2 linked regions of the Lytechinus pictus genome follow. The protein of the gene in region 2 purifies or fractionates together with the protein of the main gene of each other region. This does not show direct contact. Links are inferred from orthologs where the notes say so. Each region holds a gene or a part of one and is shown on either strand. Other genes may lie near its edges.

Evidence for each region. Proteins that work in one complex are often made in the same cells at the same time.
Region 1: the proteins of small ribosomal subunit protein uS12 (region 2) and pre-rRNA-processing protein TSR1 homolog fractionate together in Homo sapiens (co-fractionation; 3 studies listed by BioGRID and IntAct, with this or other methods). This does not show direct contact. The link is inferred for Lytechinus pictus from reciprocal best matches to the Homo sapiens genes RPS23 and TSR1.

The regions. Positions count from the first base shown.
Region 1 is NC_087247.1:46,017,632-46,025,334, reverse strand, and holds the start of pre-rRNA-processing protein TSR1 homolog, read left to right. Parts: upstream 1-4,692; 5' UTR 4,693-4,825; coding exon 4,826-4,928; intron 4,929-7,703. Other genes in the region: nuclear transcription factor Y subunit beta-like, read left to right, coding at 56-123, 1,156-1,176. UniProt on the Homo sapiens protein: Required during maturation of the 40S ribosomal subunit in the nucleolus.
Region 2 is NC_087247.1:9,442,238-9,449,179, forward strand, and holds the start of small ribosomal subunit protein uS12, read left to right. Parts: upstream 1-3,931; 5' UTR 3,932-3,989; coding exon 3,990-3,993; intron 3,994-6,942. UniProt on the Homo sapiens protein: Component of the ribosome, a large ribonucleoprotein complex responsible for the synthesis of proteins in the cell.

The DNA.
Region 1 (7,703 bases), about 37 Mb from region 2:
TTCATGCTGTAATTTGTACTAAGGATCCCATGCTTACTTAATTCTTCTGTTTCAGCAACTGAATTGATGGTTGGAGACCAGGCTGGAACACCAGCCTACCAGCAATATCCTTCTCAAGTACAAGTAAGTACTCTTTGTAAGGACCCCTGTTAAGTTGAATCGTTTTTAAGTTAATTGCTAAATATGCAACTCATATGCTGTTATAAAATTTAAGCATCAAAACATTTTGTGTAGATTATTGAATAATTTTTGAAAGGATATTTCAACTTGCCACCCCATAAAAAGAGCTATCTCATTCTGGCAGTGATGTCAATTCACCAGTTGTTAGCTAAATAAAGGGAATGAAGCTTTGCTAGAACGGACTAGCTATTCGTAGTCTCATTGAAAAGGTGCAATGTCAGACATGCTGTAGCATCACCAGGGAAAGAAAGGCAATGGACAGGTATTGTATGAAAGCATTTAATTCTATTTTAAGCGTGTGCTGAACTATGGAAAGTGACATACCGGTACTATTGTCTATTGTAAATTATTAGCGATGGTGACTTGGATTAGCAGTTGATGGCATGGTCAAGATGAGTGCTGAAGCTCTTTTGAAGAGGCGGAGCTTAGGAAGTTTAAAGAATATTCTTTCAAAATGTATGCCAATGGTAAATTAGATAACCCTTTTCACAGAGATCACCCAGGCAAGAAACTAGTTCTCCCTGATGGAATTGTTCTTGTCTGGCTCTTCTGCAATTGTGTCCAAAAAATAATAAATAAATAAATAAATCAGTTCCTGTTTTTTTTTATGTCACAGAAGAAACAAAAAGTATGTGTCATTTGCCTTTGCATTTCAGCAGGATGTTACCTTGTTGCACCCAAAATGTTTCATTCGCATTGATTCTAGGATGAGATAGTGCCTGAAATTTACACTCTCGTTATCACATCCTTTGACCATGCTCAAGTTACTCTTAGTTATTTCTAATCAATTTAAAAGGGATATTATTATAATAGTAAGCAGTTCCATGAGAGAATCCTTATTGTCCCTTATTGTTTATTCCAAGTGAGAGATTTATTAACGTTTTGCAATTTACATGCAAAAGAAGGTCAGTTCAATTATCATGTAAATATTTCATTTTCTTAAGGAAATCTGCATGTGTGTATATTCTTTTCCAGATACCGATGACCTTTACGTGATCTTTGTTTGGTGGTGTGCTGCCAATTTGATCATCATCACAAGTCAGACCAACACCTTGAATGCAGTTAGCTGTCAGATCTAGATTCCTGAAGGGCATCTTTATGCACAGGAGTCATACCCAGATTTGTTTTATTGCAAACATGGATTAGCATGCACAGGAGAGAACTCTTCAGGAGTTGCATGATTAGGTTTTTAGTTATGAGAATTATACAACTTTGATGCGCACATGAAATGAAAGCACTTGTGAGAGATGTCTTGTATAAAAGTAACCCTCCTTTTGGCTGTTTATGTTAACTTGGTTTCCCCCTCTGCACCCCCCAGCTCAAAGCTGTTTTGATCTGTATGCAATAAAAATGTGTTTTTACACTTTCCATAGTAGGTTTTCTGTGGATTTTGATTTAATTTCTCACTAACAAATTATTTCCCTTTTGAGTTACAACTCCTTTTATTGTTTCAACAATGATACATAACTCAGATTTATTGTAAATTTTTGGCTTTATGTCATATTTATCTCATCATTTATTTATGGGTTATTCATCCTATTTTTTATATCTCTTTGTTAAAATCAAATTTATATTTTACATGAGAATATGAAATTTGAATATAAATTTCAGTATGAATATGAGGGAATACCCTGCAGAACAGAATCATGCTTAAGTTACACAATTTCAAATGCTTTGATTAAATCACGATGAATGAATTAATTTCCCATTTCTAACATAAGGGGAATTGACTCTACTTAAATACTTAAAAGTAGAGATTGATTGATTGATTTGGTTAACTCAGTTTTCAAGGCCTTTACACCTGAATTGTAACCTTCAGCCATCAAGAGGTAATTGCTGGAGGCATTGTATTTTTAGATCACCTTTTGTCCATTCATTTTAGAATAATTGAATAAGTTTGATGGATCAATTTTAAATTCAAGTGACGTGTTAATTTGGCAGCGAGGATGATTTAACAAGATTTTAGGCTCGTGAGATCAAAGGTAAACAATAGCAGGTCATTATACACCTAAAAATATCTTGTTCTCACAGTAACAGAAAAATCATTAGATGGATAAACTTCACATATATAGATTTGAGTGCGAAGATTGGTCAAAAGTTCAGTCATGGGTCATAGACCCCTCCCCCTCCAAAAAAAGTTTGAAAAGCTTTGCCTGGAAAAGCCCAGTCATTATATGCTATGTAAGGTCCCATTCGCATAAAATTTAAAACTCTTGTTTGATGCAATGAACCAAAGAATAACACCTGGCTGTTCAGTCTCTGAAGTACTGGGTGGTGTTTAAGATGTTCGACTCTATGAAGGACTGGAACATATTCTCAGGTGATTTAGTCAGCTGCATAGGGATAAATCGTTTGACACATTGTAGGATCACCAGTTGTGCATAAAGTCATGTGTAAGTTACAAACAGTTATATGAAATCGCTCCCTGGATGTGCTGATTTTAGAAGAGAATGTAATGTGACCAAGAGTGGAAAATCATGACCTATATATATAATCAGGGTTCCCACAGTCATGGAAAATCCTGGAAATTTTTTTGTTCATTGAAAGTCAGGGAAAAGTCAGGGAATTTGGAAAATTTGTGAAAAGTCATGGAATCGCATTTACCTCTTGGCTATGGCAGCTTTCCAGTTTGTCGTTATTCGTAACTCTCATACTCTGCTATTATAATTGGTATTCATGATTTCCATTTTTCCCAGTTTTGTGACATCCCAAATTCTACATAACTCCCAGAACGTCACAGGAAGTCATGGAAAGCAGCAATTTAGTCATGGTAAAGTCATGGAATTGGTGTTTTCAAATTTTTGTGGGAACCCTGATAATGATTATATTATCAAAGGAGATGGGACAACTCTTTCAAAGTTAACATTTTCTTATGAATTTTCATTGTAATCCACACTCTGTATGAAGATGAAAATAGGGTGAGAAAAAAAATGGACCAACATTTCACAAAGATTGTAATTAGTAGTTGGAATTACAATGCATATTTATGATACTGAAATTGTGGCATTTGATTGGTGAAGAGTAAGTTTGTGATAAATTTGGTATGCATCACTGAAGATAACAAAAGAAACAATGCCCTGATGGGAAGACCTGTTGTTGATCATTTATTTTGTTTATCCTGTAAAGTGTAAAATTTTCTTGGCATTCCTGTTGTTTGTAATGTTTTGCTGCTTACACATGAAATGAAATTTTAATTAGAAAATAATGATGTATATATTGTAAATGGTTGTTCTCAAGTGTATTTGTATGTGTTTCACAACTTGGACATGGTTAATTTTTAAGGACCAGGGGCCTGTCTTACTAAGAGTTGCGATTGATCTGATCAATCGCAACTATGGAAAGCCAGAAAAGTCAACATCTAAAGTACATTTTCAAAATATTTTCTAGAAATGACATATGTTCATACATTCACTGTTTTTTCTTGACAATTCAGTATGCTTCTCTCTGTTTTCAAAGGACAATGAGCCAATTTCGTGAAAATAAAATATGAAATTAATGGATTTCCATATACTTGAGATTGATCGGATCAATCGTAACTCTTTGTAAGACAGGGCCATCGTGGGTTTGTGTATAGTTGTGTGGGAGAGAGAAGGGGAACGAGAACTTAGCGGAATGCTATATGGGTCTAGGAAGATTGGTAATTGTGTGAGAGGGTGTGTGCAGAAGGGGAAAATACTGCCAGGGGGACTGGAAAGCGGGGAGCAGATGCAGTTGCCCCTCTCTCCAAAATCCCCCACAATAATGATATTTATTTATCATATAGTCAAACCTGTTGAATGAGACAAGAAAAGCAGTCTTTGTGGAAAGACTCCCATAATGTGTAAAGTTCTTCAAGGAAAACCAAATTTGTGGTCTTAAAAATAGCCAGGTGATCCTTCTATATAGGCAGTTGCTGAAGCAGGTTTGACTGTGCGTTATCATAACTTAATAAAAAAATCATTCAACATATTACCTTTCATTGTAAAGCATAGAATATTCTCTTTCCTCTGGTGTAACTTCTTATTCACGCATTTAGTGAAAGCAATTTGAAAAAGAAAGGATACCAAAAGGCTTTTGGTAGGTGGTATATGAATTTCAAAAAAGAAAATCACAAGTCTCAAAAGTTAAATATCTGGTTTTTAATAAAGGACAAGTCCACCCCAACAAAATTTGATTTGAATAAAAAGAGAAAAATCCAACAAGCATAACGCTGAAAATGTCATTGAAATCGGATGTAAAATAAGAAAGTTATGACATTTTTAAAATATGGACATCCTGGTCGGTATGCAAATGAGGGAACTGATGACATCACTCGCTCACTATTTCTGTTTTATTTTATGAAATATCCTAATTTTCTCCCCATTGTCATTTGAAACAAATTTTTATTTCTCCCTGAACATGTGGAATTACCATTGTTTTTTTACATTTTATGGTTCAGTCAAGTTTGTCCTTGATGTCAAATCTGTATAAAAATTGAAATCTTGTATAATTCTTTGCCACTGATCTATAGAGCTAGAGGGGAGATAGATGTTCATTGCACGCCGCTGATCTGAGCGAAAACTCGCTACAGTTAAACTGCACTGAGTCTTGAACATAGAATAAGTAAAAAATTAAATATACTCGCTAGCGCTAGCGCGCGCGGTACGGGTATTGGTACACGTGCAAAATGGCGAAAACATCGCACAGACCCGGTCCTTTAAAACAGCAAAATAAAGGCCACAAAACTGGACGACATCGTAGTAAAGGCAAAATCGACGTTGAATTAAAGGGTAAGTTACTTTTATAACTTTCTTTGATGTGTCGCTCTTCCAGGAAAATCCTTTTACTCGGTGATTTGATATTTCCGGTTGAAGACTTCATCGTTGTTCCCTTACTAGCCCTAGTCCCACACGTACAGATTAATGTGGTGCCGGTACCGATTAGTCGAAGATTTCTAATAGTAATACCTAGGCCCTAATTATTTTAAGAACGTAACTTTACTAATGTAACAAATTTTTATATCAATTCCCGATCCGATTTTTCCATTTTTCTTAAATTTGTTTCGATCTCTGATTTTTTATGTCTGCATCTGGATAAAATGAAAAAGATCGGTTTTAAATTTAAGTTAACAATAACAACATGGAGTCATGTCATGACTCAGTCATTGTTAACTTTTAGTTTTAGTTTTATGGCTTATGCAAAAACATTAATTATTACAGAAATACAGTGGCCCAGTGGGTGATTTCAAGTACGGCGCGGTGTTGAAATCTGGGGGGCGTTTCATGAAAGGACTTGTCGGACGTTTTATCCGACAAGTCTCATTTTATCCGACAGTTACCGTCCATAGGAACAGTGCCTCTCACTCTCAGTCTCAGCTAGCCAGGCGGCTTCTAGAGAGTAAAAATCATTTACTAACGTAGCGTAAGGTCACTCTCATACGAAGCCAGGGCTTCCGTCATATACTTTTGCGTGTACCACCAAAAAACCTGAAACTTTCGCCCCCGAAATTTCTACTTTCTTTCTAAAAGATCTAGCCCTAAATCATGTTGTACATGGGATAAAACTTCATTTCCGACATTTCTATGCTCTCGTTGTTATTTTTTAACAAGAATTCATCAAAAAAATGAGAGAAATATTGTGTAAAGACGGAAGAGACTCGCCCGATGTTTACGCCGCCATCTTGTTTTCTATTGTTCTTCCCCAACGTTACCCGACGCACGCGTCTGTAACGTTGGCGAAGAACAAATCAATAGAAAACAAGATGGCGGCGTAAACATCGGGCGAGTCTCTTCCGTCTTTACACAATATTTCTCTCATTTTTTTGATGAATTCTTGTTAAAAAATAACAACGAGAGCGTAGAAATGTCAGAAATGAAGTTTTATCCCATGTACATGATTTAGCAGTAGAGGCGCACGGCCAATATGGGAGACTCTCTCCAATAGAATAGGGGAGACAATCTCCCACATTGGAGACTTGCTTTGCAAAAGGACAAAAGAAACAACACCAACAAAAGCATGATTTTTTCCACCCAAAATTTTGTCTCACTGAGGTCAGAAGCCCATTTGTTTTGTGTGTGATTGACAACAAAAATCCTTATCAAAACAAAAGTAGACAGTGAATATTTAAAGTAGACGGTGAAAAGAGGTAATTTTTCATGAGGAATCTGCTTATCACATTTTTATTTGCCGCCAAGGTAATCCTTTTGCAGCAAATGTAAACAAAGGAAATTGGACTCCAAAACTGGAGACTGTCTCTGAAATTGGATACCCAAATTCTTTACAAAAGTCTCTGATATTGGAGATAATCTCTCACATTGGAGACAGTCTCCAATATTGGCCGTGCGCCTCTACTGTTTAGGGCTAGATCTTTTAGAAAGAAAGTAGAAATCTCGGGGGTGAAAGTTTCAGGTTTTGGCTTCCATTGTGTGGGTCTATGGGATAGAAGGCCTGGCTTCATGAGAGTGACCTTACGTTAGTAAATGATTTTTACTCTCTAGAAGCCGCCTGGCTACTCTCAGCCAATCAAAATCATGGAAAGATGTCAGAATGATGTCAGATCTGACAACTTGTCGGATAAAAATATTGATGAAACGCTCCCCTGGTGTTGGTGTTGTGACAATACCAGCCACAACACTGTACTTGAAATCAGGCTGGTGTTGGGATTGACCTCGGAATATATGACATATTTCCGGCAGTTCGTGTTGAAGGATGGTGCGTGAAGTTGAGATGATTTAGCAGCGCAGAGGCGTGACGTCATGTGCTATCGACAACGCAATCAGTATCGTTCCTCTGAACCCAGCTCGGTGTTGGAGCTCGGTTCAGCGGCCTTTTTACGCTCTCAACACCAAAACCAACACTGAACACCGTACTTGAAATCACCCATTAACATCATTTTTTTTCTCATATAAAAAAAAGTATAAAAAAATGAAAAAGCATGTGTAGGTATGTTGCAAAAAAATAAATTTGAGAAATCGGGTGTTTGCTTCATAGCATCATTTAGAGCTCATCAAGACCTTTCATTTAATACCTCATTTCAATAGCCCCAGTAACAAGAAAGTTAAAACTTTGGTAGTTTTTTAAGTTCGCACAAATCGCCTCTTCAATTCTTATGTATTCCTTTGTTTTTGAAAAACAAAAGTTGTGACCTTAATTGGGACCAAGGTGCACTAATAATAGAAAACAACAATGCGCATACATTGGTATATGGAAGTGCCCAACAACAGTCAACAAAAATCACAGACATCGCCGAAACGGACATAAAAAACACACTTAGCGTCAGTAGATTTCTTTCAAATTTCACCACAATGTACGGTAGTTGAAATGTTGTTCTATTGGAATGAATACCTTTTAGAGTGGGATGATACCTGTAAATATGAATAGCAAGAAGTTGAAAGCAAGACCAAAGTTCCATTAGCACACAGAGTTGCAAGATCACCGAGTGAGGTTTTTTTTTTCAAGTCTGGACAGCTGCCATAAATATTCAACTACGTAAAATCAATGATGTCATTGGGAATAACCTTTCCTTGCACATGTAAACACCCCGGGGGGGGGGGGGGGCACTTCCA
Region 2 (6,942 bases):
CTCCATATTGAACAAGATATGTAAATCACCCTAGATCCGCCTATGGGGACAAGGGGCGGGAAAATTTGGCAAGCAAAAAAAATGGTTATCATCGTCAAAGTAAGTTCATCTCGTCCCAAAATACATGTGTTATTTCGATTTATAATGATGTATTTCTTACCATCATAAAAGACCAAAAATAGTAGGGGGGACATTTGATATTGTGTCCCCCCTACTATTTTGAGTAGGGGGGACACGTCCCCCCTGTCCCCCCTGGGATTTCCGCCCATGCCGGGGGGGGGGGGCACTTACATTGACGAGTGGATACCATGCGCGACCAAAAAAACACGTAAAAAGGATGTCCTTTTCACGATAGGGCACGTTACGTACGTAACGTGATAAGGGTGTCAAAAACACAAAAATAATGAAAAAAGGGTGTCTATTTCGCCAGGAAAATTACGTGTTTAGGGTCGAATTTGCGGGAATGATAAAACAAAATTAAAATGTTTTATAAAGGATGTCCATTTTGCCCCAACACTTCGTGTTTAGAGTCCGATTTGCGCGAGGTGTAGAAGCAGGGGCGGAAATCTCTCCCAAAAGGTAGGGGGGACACAGGGGCGGATCCAGCCTTCGCCTATAGGGGGGGGGGGGCGGAAATTTGTTTCAGCCACATTTTCCCGATCGGCAGCTCGAAGATGATTTGTGTTTGTTTCTTTGAAGGGGTAGTCCTCATTAGTCACTTCTTAGCTTTATTTTCATAATTTCTTAATTTATAAATTCTTAGCCGGGTAATATAGGAGCGCCTTGAGCACCTAACAAGGTGGATATGTGCGCAATATAAATACCCTATATTATTATTATTATTATTATATATAATATCATAATCCTTATTAATATGATGCGAGCGCGAAACGCGAGCTAATTTTTAGGAAATGTTATGTATTTTTTCCTAAAATTTGAACATTCTGGGCAATGTTTGTTATCCTGAAAAGATGTGTATGCAACTTAATAATTACTACAAACGCAAAGCGCGAGCAGAAATGAACTGATGGAAAAGATACCTGTTAAAGACTGCGTGCAGTTAGCATTTAACAATCAAATAATGCGAGCGCGTTATTTTTTTTGGTGACATTTTCACCTAAAGAATGGAAATTCTAAGCACTTTTTGTACTCAAGCAGAATAGGTATATAAGTAGACAATTGATGCGAGCGCGAAGCGCGAGCGGAAAATTTCGAGATTTAGTCCTATAATATTTACTGAACGAGACACTCTATTCATGTTTTGTAAATCATGAAAAGGATGAGTATTAATAATGCGAGCGCAAAGCGCGAGCAGAAAATTTTTATATACGTTTTGAACTGGTACCTGTTGAAAAGATACCTGTTAAGGACTGCTTGCACTTAGCCATGAAGGTGTTACATATTTCAACAATCAAAAAATGCGAGCGCGAAGCGCGAGCTGAAAATTTTTGAAAATTTGTAAAGAAAGAATTGAAAATTTTAATCAATTTTTGTAATCGTGAACAGGATAGCTATATAATCATGATAATTCAACAATTGATGCGAGCGCGAAGCGCGAGCAGAAAAAAAAATCGAGATTTAGACCTAAAAATGGGCCACTCTGTTCATGTTTTGTAAACAGCCATATCGAGGGTGATATCGAGGCTGATCGAGGGCTTTTTACCGTGTTTAAATAAAATAAATCAATCAAAATCAATGTTTTGTAAATCATAAAAAGGATGAGTAATAGGGGGTCTTCCTACCCCGGGCTTCCTACATTAATAATGCGAGCACAAAGCGCGAGCAGAAAATTTTTGATATTGTGATCTGAAACTGGATAATGATTTAAATAGAGAACAAGTTGAGTATTTGAATAAACATGCGCGCGCGTGTTTCATATTTAGACCTAGAATCTAGGCATTCTAAATACATCTTTGATCATGAAACTTTAATATTCCGATCTGAAAAAAGAGTCAATTACAGCTTTATATTTCAAGCACTTTGTAGGAAAATTGTAAGGTGGATATGGATCGCACTTTAAAAAAAAGAGCTAAAATTTTCATTATTATTACTTCATGTACTTTGAGTTTTGACATAGGACCGGGACATCCTTACGACATGTCAGGGTCGTGTGGTCCAGTGGTTAGAGCATTGGACTCATAATCGCAAGGTTGTGAGTTTGAATCCCAACTCTGTCATAGTCTCCACTTTGATAAAAAGGCCCAAGAGTGGATATCTGTACGTCAGCCACTATGACTGATTAACCTAGACGTAAAATGTTTCCAAGGTAATTGGTTATATACCAGCTTGGCGTTTACCAGCAAAAAATGCTGTCCTGCCGAGTTCCTACGGGAGTTTACCACAAACAGAAACAGAAACATGTCATGAAACTGATGACTATCTTCCTATTCCTCTTGCTAAGCGCGAGATAAAACAAAAGGGACAATTTAATTATTAAATTAATATATTTATTAATGCCTAATGAGGGCTAACTTTTTTTATAAACTGTCATGAAAAGGGGATTTTAAGTAGTTTGTTGTATTATCAATATTGAAACATACATAACTCGCCAATCAAAATGCCAGCGTGCAGCGCTAGCTGATACGTCTTGACAATCAGACCTGAAAAGGGATATCTTGAAAACTTTATGGAATACACGAAAATAATAGGTACCTGATAAATCAAAATTTGCGAGCAAGCAGCAAATGTTGATAAAATTATTCAGACCATAAAAGTGACATTTTTACAGACACTTTTTAAAATCAATTTGTAAATCACACAAAATAATGAAAGTTCGATTTCCGAGGTGAAACATGTTCTGTATATTGACTTCCAAACTTGATATTTGAGCTCCATATTGAACAAGATTAATTGTAAATCACCTAACAGGCAATGCGAGCGCGAAGCGCGAGCGAAAATTTTATATAGTGCCACGAAAGATTCTTTTTTTTTTCCAAGTCTTCCCCTCATCTTATTTTATGCACGCGTCGTCCTTTTATTCTTTTCTCCTCTCTTTTCCCTTTTTCCTTCTTTCTTTCCCTTTTTTTCTTTTTTTTGCTCCGCCAATAGGGGGGGGGGGGCCTTGGCCCCCCTGGATCCGCCTATGGGGACAACGGGCGGGAAAATTTGACAAGGAAAAAAAAGGTTATCATCCCAAAAGTACGGCGGTCATCTCGTCCCAACTCGTCCCAAAATACATGTTTTATTTCGATTTAGAATGATATAGTTCTTACCATCATAAAAGACAAAAAAAAGTAGGGGGACATTTGATATTGTGTCCCCCCTACTATTTTGAGTAGGGGGGACACGTCCCCCCTGTCCCCCCTGGGATTTCCGCCCATGTGTAGAAGGTGGGGTCGTACTAAACCAAATAAGGTAAAGCCGACGACCGAAGGACCCGTAACAATAAAACATTCCTGTACTTGTTTAGGGGTTCATTTCAGGGAATATTTGCCAAGAGTGTCGTCTTGTTTCCAATACTTGTTAAGGGTAGGGTTTCACACGCCAATACTTGTTAAGGGGTGCATTTTCAGAATATGGAAATTACGTGTTTAGGGTGCTTTTCGAGACCCCATGGTCGCGCATGGTATCCATTCGTGAATGGAAGTGGCCCCCCCGGGATATAGCTATGTCAATTTGGCAGGACTTACAGGCCTAGATATATAGGCTGGAAAATATTTCCTGACTTTTGGTAGGCCCTACATAATCCTAAAATGCACCATGCACCTCTGCCCCTTTGCCAGGGGCGGGCCGCGGAGTTTTGAAGGGGGGGGGGGGTGACAATGCAAAAAAAAAAAAAAATCAGATGGTAATTCTTATGTTTTTATACACGGTTTGGAAAAAAAATGTGTGGGGCGGAGGGACTGAAGGCCCTTAGGCCCCTGTCTGCATCTAAAAATCAAATTTATAATATCCATGCAAACAATGTCCAAAGCATTAATTTTCGCGCGCCCTCAACGATAGACAATTGACCATTTTCGGCCTTTTTACGTGCATGAATCTCACTCGAAATGGGTTAGTTATCCCACGTGCCCTTAAATCACAATATTTAACGCATTTTATCATAAGCATATACATTATATTAGATTAATCCTGTACCTAAGATATTTAGTTTATTGAAAATTCTCAAAATTCATTGTCATATGTTGCTGGACACTAGAGATTTTGACGAGCTAGTTGCTCAAATATACCGAAGATGTCGCGTCTGAATTCGCATGACTCTTCTTGTGTAGTAAATACCGTATACGGCCACGGTACCGTATAGGGTACCGGGTTCTGTACGGTACCGTAGCTTTGGCTTTGCGTATTTACATACATGAGTACCGTATGCTATCTGGAATTTTGCAGGAAGCGACAGTGCGCCGCTTCACTCTACAAAGTGCACATCACTCTCCAATTCATTTACAGTTACCAGGTCTAGTAAGACTGTAGACTACAAAATGTAGATTTTATGCCATATCAGTTTTGTGGAGGATTTTAATAGAAAAATGTTTCATTTGTCGTTTGAATAATTTGACAATGATTTGAATAATTTGACAATGAAAATTAAGCCAAAAAAGGCCTTGCCAAGGATTTAATTTGATCGTATGGTACTTATCCGTTATCGTATTACCAAACACTTCATGAATTCAATCATATCGAACACAATATTCGCATAAAATTCATCAAACTTTTACGTTTTACCATAAAGATCTAGGTCTAGACTAGAGGTCTAGACTTACACAAATAAATGTGTAAAAAGGTTTCGCCAAGATTTTTTGTAAAAATCTTGGCGATTTTTTTTGTCAACGTCCCCCTACGATATCGCTCGGCTCCCAATCACACCCCTCCTACTAGTCCTACTCCTAGTCAAAGAAGTGAAATATTTTATTCACTTGAAAATAGTATCGTATTTACCGAGTGTGTGTTTTCTGTGAGAAAAGTTGAGAAAACAGCAAAATCACTGATGAGCTATTTTTATAATATTTTATTATTTTGAGGATATAAAGACTTTGAAAATGTATGGCTAAAGAAAACTTAAAAGTTAGACTAGAGCCAGACGTGGGAAGGGGTGATTGTTGCAATTAAGAATGGATTATTTCAGACAGCATGGGTACGAAATTATTACAGGAGACGGAGGACTCGATCGATTGTGGTGGGGGCAGGGGTCGATCAACCCATGAAATTATTGGGGGCAAACATCTCTTTGTCCCCAATAATTTTGAAATAATAAATTATGCAATGCAAAATTTAAAAAGCATGAAAGAAAAGCACTTTATGAAACATTAAACCTGACATGGAAATATTATCAAACATACAAAATTTTATTTTTTTCTGTGCGCTCCTTATTCAAAATTCTTTATTATAATTTGGTGCACAGAACTATCGCCCCCCTCAAAAAAAAAAAAAAAAAAAAAATTTTACCCTTGCCTCCCCCTCATCCGAGAGATGGATAACCTACTGAGCATTACAAGCTATTGAAAGTTGAAAATTCTAATCATTGGAAAGTACTATATCAAGGCTCCACATTAACTTTTTTTGGTGGTGGCCCATTCGGGCCACCAAAACCATCAAATAATTTTTTTTGGTGGCCCAATATTAAAGTTTGGTGGCCCGAAAAATATAAAGAAAAACATTAAAAATGAATAAAACAATTAATTCTGCAGCCACTACCACTAAGTTCCTTTCACTTTATACATCTTGTATGTAAACCTTGTTTGCTGTTATTTTACTTTGCTAATTGGTAATTGTCTCTATCGTTGTAAAAATGAAATGATTGAAAGTGAATAAATGAATTGTATTGTTCGCAGGTTGTGTGGACTTTTTTTAAAATCTCTGTATAGAGATAATGGTAAAGTAAATAAATAGTGCATAGCAAACTCAGATAGATGTACAAAACAATGGTTTTTCCTTCCTTCCTCTTTGAATCCTAAAACCTAGATTATATGCATGCCCCAAATCCAGTTTATTTCTGTTTTCTCTTTTGCAGCATATTATAGAAGGAGAAAATCACAGAAAAATATGCTGCAAAATTAGAACAATGCATAAAAGGGAGAAACAAACGAAAATAATTTTCAAAAAGTATATAACAAAAAGAAAACAAAAATAATAAAAGAAATTAGTGAAATAAAACAAAAGAAAGAAAACGAAGAAAGAAAAAACGAAGAACAGGGAAAAAAAGAAAGAACAGGGAAAAAAAGAAAAAAAGAAAAGAATAAAATTAGAGAGAAAAAAGAAAAGAAAATGAAAGAAAAATTAATAAAACAAAGTTAATATAAAAATGGGGAAAAGGGGAAAATTAAGAAGCCATTACATATATTTTTGATAGCTGTGGCAACAGTCTATTCTGACTGGAATATAATTAAAAGCCAAGTATATAATTTTCACTTACCTTTTGGGAATGGCACATTTCTATTTTTATATCCTTTAGTTTGTATTATTTTATTTTCAGTAGAAACATATTTTTTAATCAGGCATATTCAATGGGAAGGGGTATAAATGGTTTAACCACTGTCAAAAAAAAATGAAAGAAAAAAAAAAAACGGCAAAAACTATATCTGGAAAAAAAGTGTGAGAAAAGTCCTTCCCTATATTTGCCAAAATGTTGGAAAAAAAATCACATTTCATATCAATGAAATGCCTTCCCAAAGTATTTACTTTCTCAAGAGTGGTTTAAGAAGTCATTTATAAACAAGAAAGAAAGAAACTGTCTGTTTGTTTAAGGCTAGAAAATACACAGCTTCGAAAGAAACCAAGTATCAACATACATACAAATGCACACGTGGGACTGTGATGTACTTGCCTATGTGTTTTTATGTGTATTAATTCATGTGGAAATCGGTCTTTTTGAGTCAAAAGAGAGGTCATAATTCCTCTTCTTAATACTTGCAAATAATCAGGGTACACCAGATTTTCGTAATATAGACTGTAGAATTGCATTTCATTGGTGTAAAAGGTGACTTTGACTTAGATTTTCAAAGTTCT